Cricetulus griseus: one gene and its partner. The protein of the gene in region 1 interacts with the protein of each later gene in a pairwise test. Links are inferred from orthologs where the notes say so. Each region holds a gene or a part of one and is shown in the gene's direction. Other genes may lie near its edges. The genes, in order: Plaa and Ubxn1.

Region 1 (3,813 bases):
TCATTTATGGAATGAATATTCTGTGTTTAGGAGATGAGGGAAATATTGGAGGATTGAGGTTGGAGGTATAGCACGAATGGTAGGTATGATGGGGCTTACCTGTGGCTAAAATTCAAACTTGGTCCTTTTAGTGCTTAGGGTTAAAAGATTGTATCTCTAGAGCAAGACATGATCAGATTTAAGTGGAATTTATGAATTACGGAAAGGAAAGCAAACTAGAAATGAATTGTACTAGGAGTATGTGGTTATAAAACACTGACAGTACTAATGAATTCATTCATGAGAAAATTCAGAGGAAAAGCATAAAGCTTCAAAAGTATAGTGTGTGGTAATCCCCATTAATAAAAATAGAAAAATGTGAGAATTAATTTAGTTCATAAAGAATACTTGCCTTTAATCCCAGCCCTCGGGAGGCAGAGGCAGGCAGATTTCTGTGAGTTTGAGACTAGCCTGGTCTACGAGAGCTAATTCCAGGACAGCCTCCAAAGCCACAGAGAAACCCTGTCTCAAAAAACAAAACAAAAAGGTAATACTTTGGTTTAAGGCTTGTTGAATCTGAGTAATGCCTTGCCACACTGCAGGTAGGTCCTAAGTAGCCAGATTGAATTCTATTGTAAGTACTGGGCCTAAAATATATATACAAAACTGTCCCTGAGTGAGGAAATATAGAGGAGGGACAGAAGACTAACAGTGAATCCTGTGAAGTACTCTGGATATGGGAAGGTCAGTAGGTTAAAAAGCACACAGGATTCCAGATGTCAGAATCCAGGGAAAAGGAAGAGGTTTTGGAGGGAGCTTAGCATCAGTGTCCTAAGTTCGTAAGAGGTTGAAGAACAGAAAGGTAGAAAAGCATTTGGATTCATTTTGAAAGATGGTACTACCTGTAGTTGCTGTTACATTTTAGAAGAAAATTATAGGGCAAAAAAGTAAAGGAAATGAAGGGATACTTGATAAAGGAAAAGACTGTGACTAGACAGTGAGAGCTAGAAAAAGATGGCAGCTCTGAGTGCAGAGGATTTAGTAGACCTCTTATTTTGGGTTGGGGCAGGGATTCATTTGTTGATGTAGATATAATAATAGTTCATGAAGCTTGGTAACAGTCAAAGGAAAATTTGCCAAGAAAGTGAAATTGACATCAGTAGAAAATACTACTATTTTCTATACTTTCTACTATTTCTATATTTATAGAAATAAAGTATTCTATAGAATTCAATTGAATTAATACAGTTTAAACTAGACAATGTGACTTTCCCACTTTATTCAAATTGAAAAAATGCAGTCATAAGACTAGAATATGTTCTTGAGAATATATAGGTTGAGTACTACTATTTAGCCAATCATGGAGCTGAATTTTTCTTTGAGATTATTTGAGTATATTGAACACCTGCTATATGATAAGCCTAGGCTGGGTCTTTGAGCATTTTTAAAGTTAACTGTCCCAGTAACCCTTTTGGGGGGGGGCTGTTTGTTTTTTGTTATTTTGGTGTGTGTGTGTTGTTGTTGTTTAGTTTTGTTTTTGTTGGGAAAATCACACATTCAAGGTTGGCCTTGGCTATGTACAAATACCTGCCTCAGTGGTAGAACACCAGCCTAATAGAAACAAGGTTCTGGTGGGTTCAGTCACTGGCATTTTTTTAAAAAAATTAAAAATTGTATTTAAATGTATGTCTCCTTTGCCAGAAATTTCTTTAAATAGCGGAAATAATACTGTATGTTATAGTCAGCATACTTCTTCACAATAAGCAGTGATGTTTTTCATATTTGTGCATACAGATAATGTTTGCTTTATTTACAAGAGGGAATGTTAATAAATGGATCAGTGACTTAAACTAGTTTGCTTTTCTTGTAGTGATGGTATCATTAGAGTGTTTACAGAGTCGCAGGATCGGACAGCAAGTGTCGAGGAAATCAAGGCTTTTGAGAGAGAGCTCTCTCAGGCAACTATCGATTCCAAAACTGGTGACTTAGGGGACATTAATGCTGAGCAGCTTCCTGGGAGGGAACATCTGAATGAACCAGGTAACTATTAGAGTAATTGTAGTTCAGGTGGTGGTGGTGCACGCCTTTAATCTGGAAGGCAGAGGCAGGCAGATTTCTGTGAGTTTAAGGCTGGCCTGGCCTACAGAGTGAGTTCCAGGACAGCCAAGGTGACACAGAGAAACCCTGTCTCAGGGGAACCACACTTGCCATTTGGAATACCAAGAGTAATAAGGGAAAATGTTTTGTTAATGTTTCTTTTGTTCTCAATGCCAGATACTGAGACTTGAGGGTTTTTACTGTCACACATAACTGATAAGAGAAGCCATGTTCTTTTTGCACATTTTACTATTTGAACTTGGAAGCATCCACAAAAAATACGTTAAAATTTGTCGTAAGTGCTTTTGGATTTTACTCTGCTAGTCAGTCTTTGATTCTTAAAATGTTTGTTTTAAGGTACTAGAGAAGGACAGACTCGTCTAATCCGAGATGGAGAGAGAGTTGAAGCCTATCAGTGGAGTGTTAGTGACGGGAGGTGGATAAAAATTGGAGATGTTGTTGGCTCATCTGGTGCTAATCAGCAAACATCTGGAAAAGTTTTATATGAAGGGAAAGTATGTCTACTGCTTTCTAATTATTATTTTAAACTATACAGAAACTTAGTTTTCTCTGGTATTTTGACATTTAGAAGTACATTATTGTAAGAAAATTATCTTCTGTCTTAAAGTAGATTTAATATATACAGATAGATAGATAGATAGATAGATAGATAGATAGATAGATAGATAGATAGATATGGCTGGAGAGATGTCTCAGAGGTTGAGAGCGCTGACTGCTCTTACAGAGGTCCTGAGTTCAATTCCTAGCAACCACATGGTGGCTCACAACCATCTATAGTGAGATCTGGTGCCCTCTTCTGTCCTACAGGTAGAACACTGTATACATAATAAATAAATCTTTAAAAAAATAAAATAAAATAAAATAAATATATATATGAATATTTTAAATATGTATCTATATAAAATTTTTATGTGTAGAGAAAGCTGTATATAACAAATTAGCCATTATTTATCTTTAGACTTTCTCTTACAAAAATGTTTCCAGTCAGTTTGGATTAGGAGTTTCTTTTATCTCATGCTTCATGCCTGTCTCTGTTAAACTTGGCAAGACATGAGGGACACTGTAGGGCTGTGCTTATGTGCCAGTATGTCTTGGTTAGTAGGACACCCTAAAAGCTAAAAATTTTGACCTTGAGATCAACCATTTGGGAACCTTCTTTTGAACCTAGAATTAATAAGTAGTTATAATCAGGTCCTCATCTCAGCCATCGCCTTCCCAACTACTAATGAAACACTAATTTTGTAACAAATGCACACTTTGGCTCCTTCTCTGCCAAATAGAAAGCCTTTACCATTGCATTTTGGAGAAAGTTTTAAAGTCTAAATGGTTAGAATAAAAACACATAACATCTGTGTTATTTTATATGTTTTAATGTATTTGAACAGTTAAATTATCTATCTTGTTTTCTGTTTTCATTATAGGAATTTGATTATGTTTTTTCAATTGATGTCAATGAAGGTGGACCATCATATAAATTACCATATAATGTCAGTGAGGATCCCTGGCTAGCTGCATACAACTTCTTGCAGAAGAATGATTTGAATCCCATGTTTTTGGATCAGGTGGCTAAATTTATTATTGATAACACAAAAGGTCAAACGTTGGGACTTGGGAATACCAGTTTTTCAGACCCATTTACAGGTGAGTTTGGACTTGTATTAATTCTTATGTACTAACATTAGTATTAGGGGTGTGTGTTTGTGTGTGTGTGTGTGT
Region 2 (4,551 bases), on another chromosome or scaffold:
ATGGCCCCGAGTTTCCAAAGCAGGCAGTTTTTATGTCTTTTTGGTCATTAGGCAGGAGTATGACAACATATTGATTGGCTATAACATACATGAGTCATTTACTAATTGGTTGGGAACTGAACTTACAATTTTGCCCACGAGGGGTTTGGAATGTTATTTTGGTTTTTACACCTGCAAGGCTATGGGACGGCTAGTGGTTTTTCTGGGAACAGAGTGACTTATACTTATTTTCAAAACTTGGGTGCTCTGGAGCAGGGTAACCCATAACAATTTTTAGAAACCAGACAGTTGTTGAAGATAATAGAAACTAGTAATAATAACAATTTCCAGAGACTGGTCATCATGACCGACCATTTCATGTGTTTTTTGTCCCAGAGCTGTGTGTGTGTGTGGGGGGGGTACAGAGTGATTTCCAAATACATGCTGGTGGGTATCAGGCTAGGCTTAAGTTGGGGTCTTTCACCTGCATGTATGTCTGTGTGAGGGTGTCAGATCTTGGAGTTACAGACAGTTGTGAGCTGCCATGTGGGTTCTGGGAATTGAACCCAGGTCCCCTGGAAGGACAGTCAGTGTCCTTAACCACTGAGCCATCTCTTCACCCCCAAAATTTCTTCTTTTTAAATTACATACATCACTGCCAGGTGTGGAACCACACTCCGTTAACCCAGAACACTCGGGAAGTAGAGGCAGACAGATTTCTGTGAGTCTGAGTGTGAGCATGGCCAGGACATAGGGAAAGAAAGAATGACAGGAAGGAAGGAAGGAAGAAAGGAAGGAAGGAAGGAAGGAAGGAAGGAAGGAAGGAGAACAGAAAAAAAAAAAAAGCCAGGAGGTGGTGGCACAACCCTTTAATCCCAGCACTTGGGAGGTCAAAGGACTGCCTCTGGATAGAAAAGAGGCAGATGTCACAGCAGTGTATAAAGGTAAAATGGGAAACCCTGTATTAGAATGAGTTGGTTTGTTTTGAGTGGGCATGTTAATTAGGGCAGCCACAAGGAGCTTTTGATTAATGGACTCCAATACTTTTGATAACTGGACCTTGATAGTCAGCCTCAGGAGGAGGAAGTAGCCAAATAAAGGAATAGACCATGTTGGCTAGCTTTAGGAATGTAATCTAACGGTTTTTAGCTTGGGCTGTCTAGAGTCCCTTCAGTCTACAGAGAGTTCCAGGATAGCTAAGGCTATGCAGGGAAACCCTGTCTCGACAAACAAAAACAAAACAGCAAACAGAAATAGAGAAAAAAATTGATTGCATACATTGTTTATTGTTTATCATGAATGCGTGTGTAGGTCAGAGGACGACTAGCAGAGATCTGTTTTTCTCCTGCCTCCTGCCTCCACCACGTGGGTCCTGGGAGGCGGACTGATACAGTCAAGGTTGGCTGATGCTTTCACCCGCCGAGCCAGCCCACTTCTCAGTCTCTGAAGCTCCTCGTGGGTGGGTCTCCCAGTCGGCTTCGGTTGGCGGATGTCCCCGCCCACCAGGCGGAACTGTTGTGGCCCTCCCGGCACCCGTCCACCCCGCTCCCACGTGACCCAAACAGACGGTGCACTTCCGCTTCCCCTCCGCACTCCTCCGTCAGTGTCCCCCACCCCCGCCCCCGGGTCCCCAACCCGGTGAGTTAGCGAGCGCCGGGAGGGCGGCGTCGCGGGCGGAGTCGCCCGGGCTGACCCTTGCCGCCTGCCTTCTCGTCCCCGCAGGTCCCCGCGGAAGCGGCGGCGGGCGCCATGGCGGAGCTGACGGCTCTGGAGAGCCTCATCGAGATGGGCTTTCCCAGGGGACGCGCGTAAGGGAGCCTCCCCCCAGGGGCCCGTGGTGGGGGGCCGCGGGCCTGGCCCGGCCCGGCCCGACTGTCACCATGGCTGGTGGGCGCTACTCTCCGTGTTTCTGCCCCCAGGGAGAAGGCTCTGGCCCTCACAGGGAACCAGGGCATCGAGGCTGCGATGGACTGGTGAGCGACCGGCCCCCGTGGCGGAGGTTTGGGGGCCGCTGCGAAGGGCGGCCGCCAGGCTAACCCCCTGCCCACTTTCCCTGCCCAGGCTTATGGAGCACGAAGACGACCCCGATGTGGACGAGCCTCTAGAGACTCCCCTCGGCCATATCCTGGGACGGGAACCCACGTCCTCAGAGCAAGTTGGCCCTGAAGGTCCTGACTGGGAGACATCTTGTGATTCTAGACGTCTTGTGAGGGCCTGAGGAAACAGAATGATTTTTGTTACAAATAATAATACTGGTTGCTTGTTTGTAGGATCTGGGTCTGCTGCTGAAGAAAGCAAACCCATTTTGACTGAAGAGGAGAGGCAAGAACAGACTAAGAGGTAGGTAACCGGCAATTTGACTGTGTGTGTGTGTTTTGTTTGGTGCCCGCCTGCCTCTCTGGCCCAGGCAGAACTGATTCATTGCCGGGATTAAAGGCTTTCACCGCTAGGTCCTGTGTTGTTTTGTGAGATAGGTTCTAACTGTGTACTTCAGGCTGGCCTGGAATCCAGTATTTATCCCAGGCCAAGTTCAAAGCCACATTCTTCTGAGTGCTGGGGTTACAGGTGGGCCATCATATCTAGCCTATAGACTCACTTTCCAAAGGGTCATAGGGCCATCTTCCTTCCTCTCCAATGCAAACACAAGTCTGATCAGAGAACCCGACCCTTCCAGGTTCTGGAAAAAAAAAAAACCGAACTAACAAAAGACAGCCACCAAGAAACATAAACAGTCTGATGTAGCTTAGGCTGGTCTCAAACTCCCTGTGTGACTTCAGATTACCTTGAAATGCTGATTCTCTTGCCTCTGCCTTGCAGTGCTGGCATTATAGGTGTGCACCACTATATCTAGCTCTCGTTTGCCCCTCCCCGCCTTTTTAACTATAAGGCACTGCGTGCCAAGTATGTGCTTCACCACTGAGCTAAGCTCCTAGCCCCCCCCCCCCTTATTTTTATTCCTGTTTTGGTTTTGTTTCCTTTCATCTGTCTTGGAACACATGTTCCCTTATTTTGTTAAGATTTCTCTGTTTAAACTCAACTTCCCACTCCATATCCAATTTGAGCTCTTTCTTCTCTGTAAAACAGAATGTTGGAGCTTGTGGCCCAGAAGCAGCGGGAACGTGAAGAAAGAGAGGAGCGAGAAGCTTTGGAACGAGAAAAGCAGCGGAGGAGACAAGGGCAAGAGCTGTCAGCCGTAAGGCAGAAACTACAGGAAGACGAGATGCGCCGTGCTGCTGAGGAGCGCAGGAGAGAAAAGGCTGAAGAATTAGCTGCCAGGTCTGGGTGTTGACGGTTGTTGGTCGTTGAGAAGGAAATCTTTTCCCTTGTCCATCTCTGACCTCTTTTCTTCCTGTCTGCATTCCAGACAAAGGGTCCGAGAAAAAATTGAAAGGGACAAAGCAGAGAGAGCCAAGAAGGTGGGTGATGAGAAAGCCTGTGGGTGTAATGGTGTAGGAGGGTTCATTTCCTCTTCCATTCTCAAGAGATAGCATGTGCTTGCATGATTTGTGTGTTTGAGACACAGTTTTACTCTGTAGCCCAGACTGGTCTCAGACTTCTGGTTGTTTTCCTGCCTCAGCCTTCCAAGTGCTGGAAATAAAAGGTGTGAGCCACTGAAGCTGGGTGGGTTTGTTTTGTTTTGTCTGTGTGCTGAAGGTTGAAATATATATATATATATATATATATATATATATATATATATATATATATATATATGCATGCCAGACTAGTATGCTACCACTCAGCTAGCGTTTTATTTTTGTCTTCCAGTATGGTAGTAGTGTGGGTTCTCAGTCATCCCCACCAGCAACAGATCCAGGTCCTGTTCCTTCTTCTCCCAGCCAGGAGCCCCCTACCAAGCGGGAGTATGACCAGTGTCGCATACAGGTATGTTTTCTGGGCACTGTCTTGCTCCTAGAACTGGGTGTTGGCCTGTAAGGTGCCCAGCCCAACTTAAGTTCCATTTGCCAAATCTCTTCCTTCTTTGTACATGACTTTTGAAATCCTATCTCCTCTACTCTTAGGAGTGATTGAATTTCACCTGCTTGTCTTATTTAAATACATACGTCATTCTTACTCAGCAGTTACCCTTTAATTTATTCACAATGTTTTCATTAGACTCATTACACAGCTGTTTTCATAATACAGCACCTATTCTGTTTTTTAAAAATAGTTCCATCTTATCTTTTCTTGATTGTGAGGTAGCTTGGAGTCCTTTTCATCACCTATTGAAGCAGAGATACCCTGCTTCTGCCTGAGTGCTGGAATTAGTGGCATATGCCACCATTCCAGACTTTCTTTTACTTTTGGGACTGAGTCTTGCTGTACAGCCCTACTGTCCTGGAGTTCACTATGAAGATGAAGCTGACCTCAAACTTCTGGAGGTCCTCCTTCCTATTTCTTCTGTATGCTGTGATTATAAGTATTGCCATTACCTGGCCTCACCCTATTTTTTTACCCCCCCACCCCCAACTCACTTTGTAGACCAGGATGGCCTCAAACTTAGATCATCGTGCCTTTGCCTCCCAAGTGCTAGGATTAAAGTCTTGTACCACCACACCCCGCCCTTTTTTT

What was found.
Region 2: the proteins of Plaa (region 1) and Ubxn1 interact in binary tests that used the Homo sapiens proteins (3 or more experiments, as listed by UniProt). The two-hybrid records come from large-scale screens. The link is inferred for Cricetulus griseus from reciprocal best matches to the Homo sapiens genes PLAA and UBXN1.

Annotation. Positions count from the first base shown.
Region 1 is NC_048595.1:54,235,698-54,239,510, forward strand, and holds part of Plaa (phospholipase A-2-activating protein), read left to right. Parts: intron 1-1,849; coding exon 1,850-2,019; intron 2,020-2,433; coding exon 2,434-2,591; intron 2,592-3,518; coding exon 3,519-3,738; intron 3,739-3,813. UniProt on the Homo sapiens protein: Plays a role in protein ubiquitination, sorting and degradation through its association with VCP. Involved in ubiquitin-mediated membrane proteins trafficking to late endosomes in an ESCRT-dependent manner, and hence plays a role in synaptic vesicle recycling.
Region 2 is NC_048596.1:51,222,572-51,227,122, reverse strand, and holds the start of Ubxn1 (UBX domain-containing protein 1), read left to right. Parts: upstream 1-1,542; 5' UTR 1,543-1,617; intron 1,618-1,701; 5' UTR 1,702-1,728; coding exon 1,729-1,787; intron 1,788-1,898; coding exon 1,899-1,952; intron 1,953-2,040; coding exon 2,041-2,147; intron 2,148-2,249; coding exon 2,250-2,319; intron 2,320-3,063; coding exon 3,064-3,255; intron 3,256-3,343; coding exon 3,344-3,395; intron 3,396-3,747; coding exon 3,748-3,864; intron 3,865-4,551.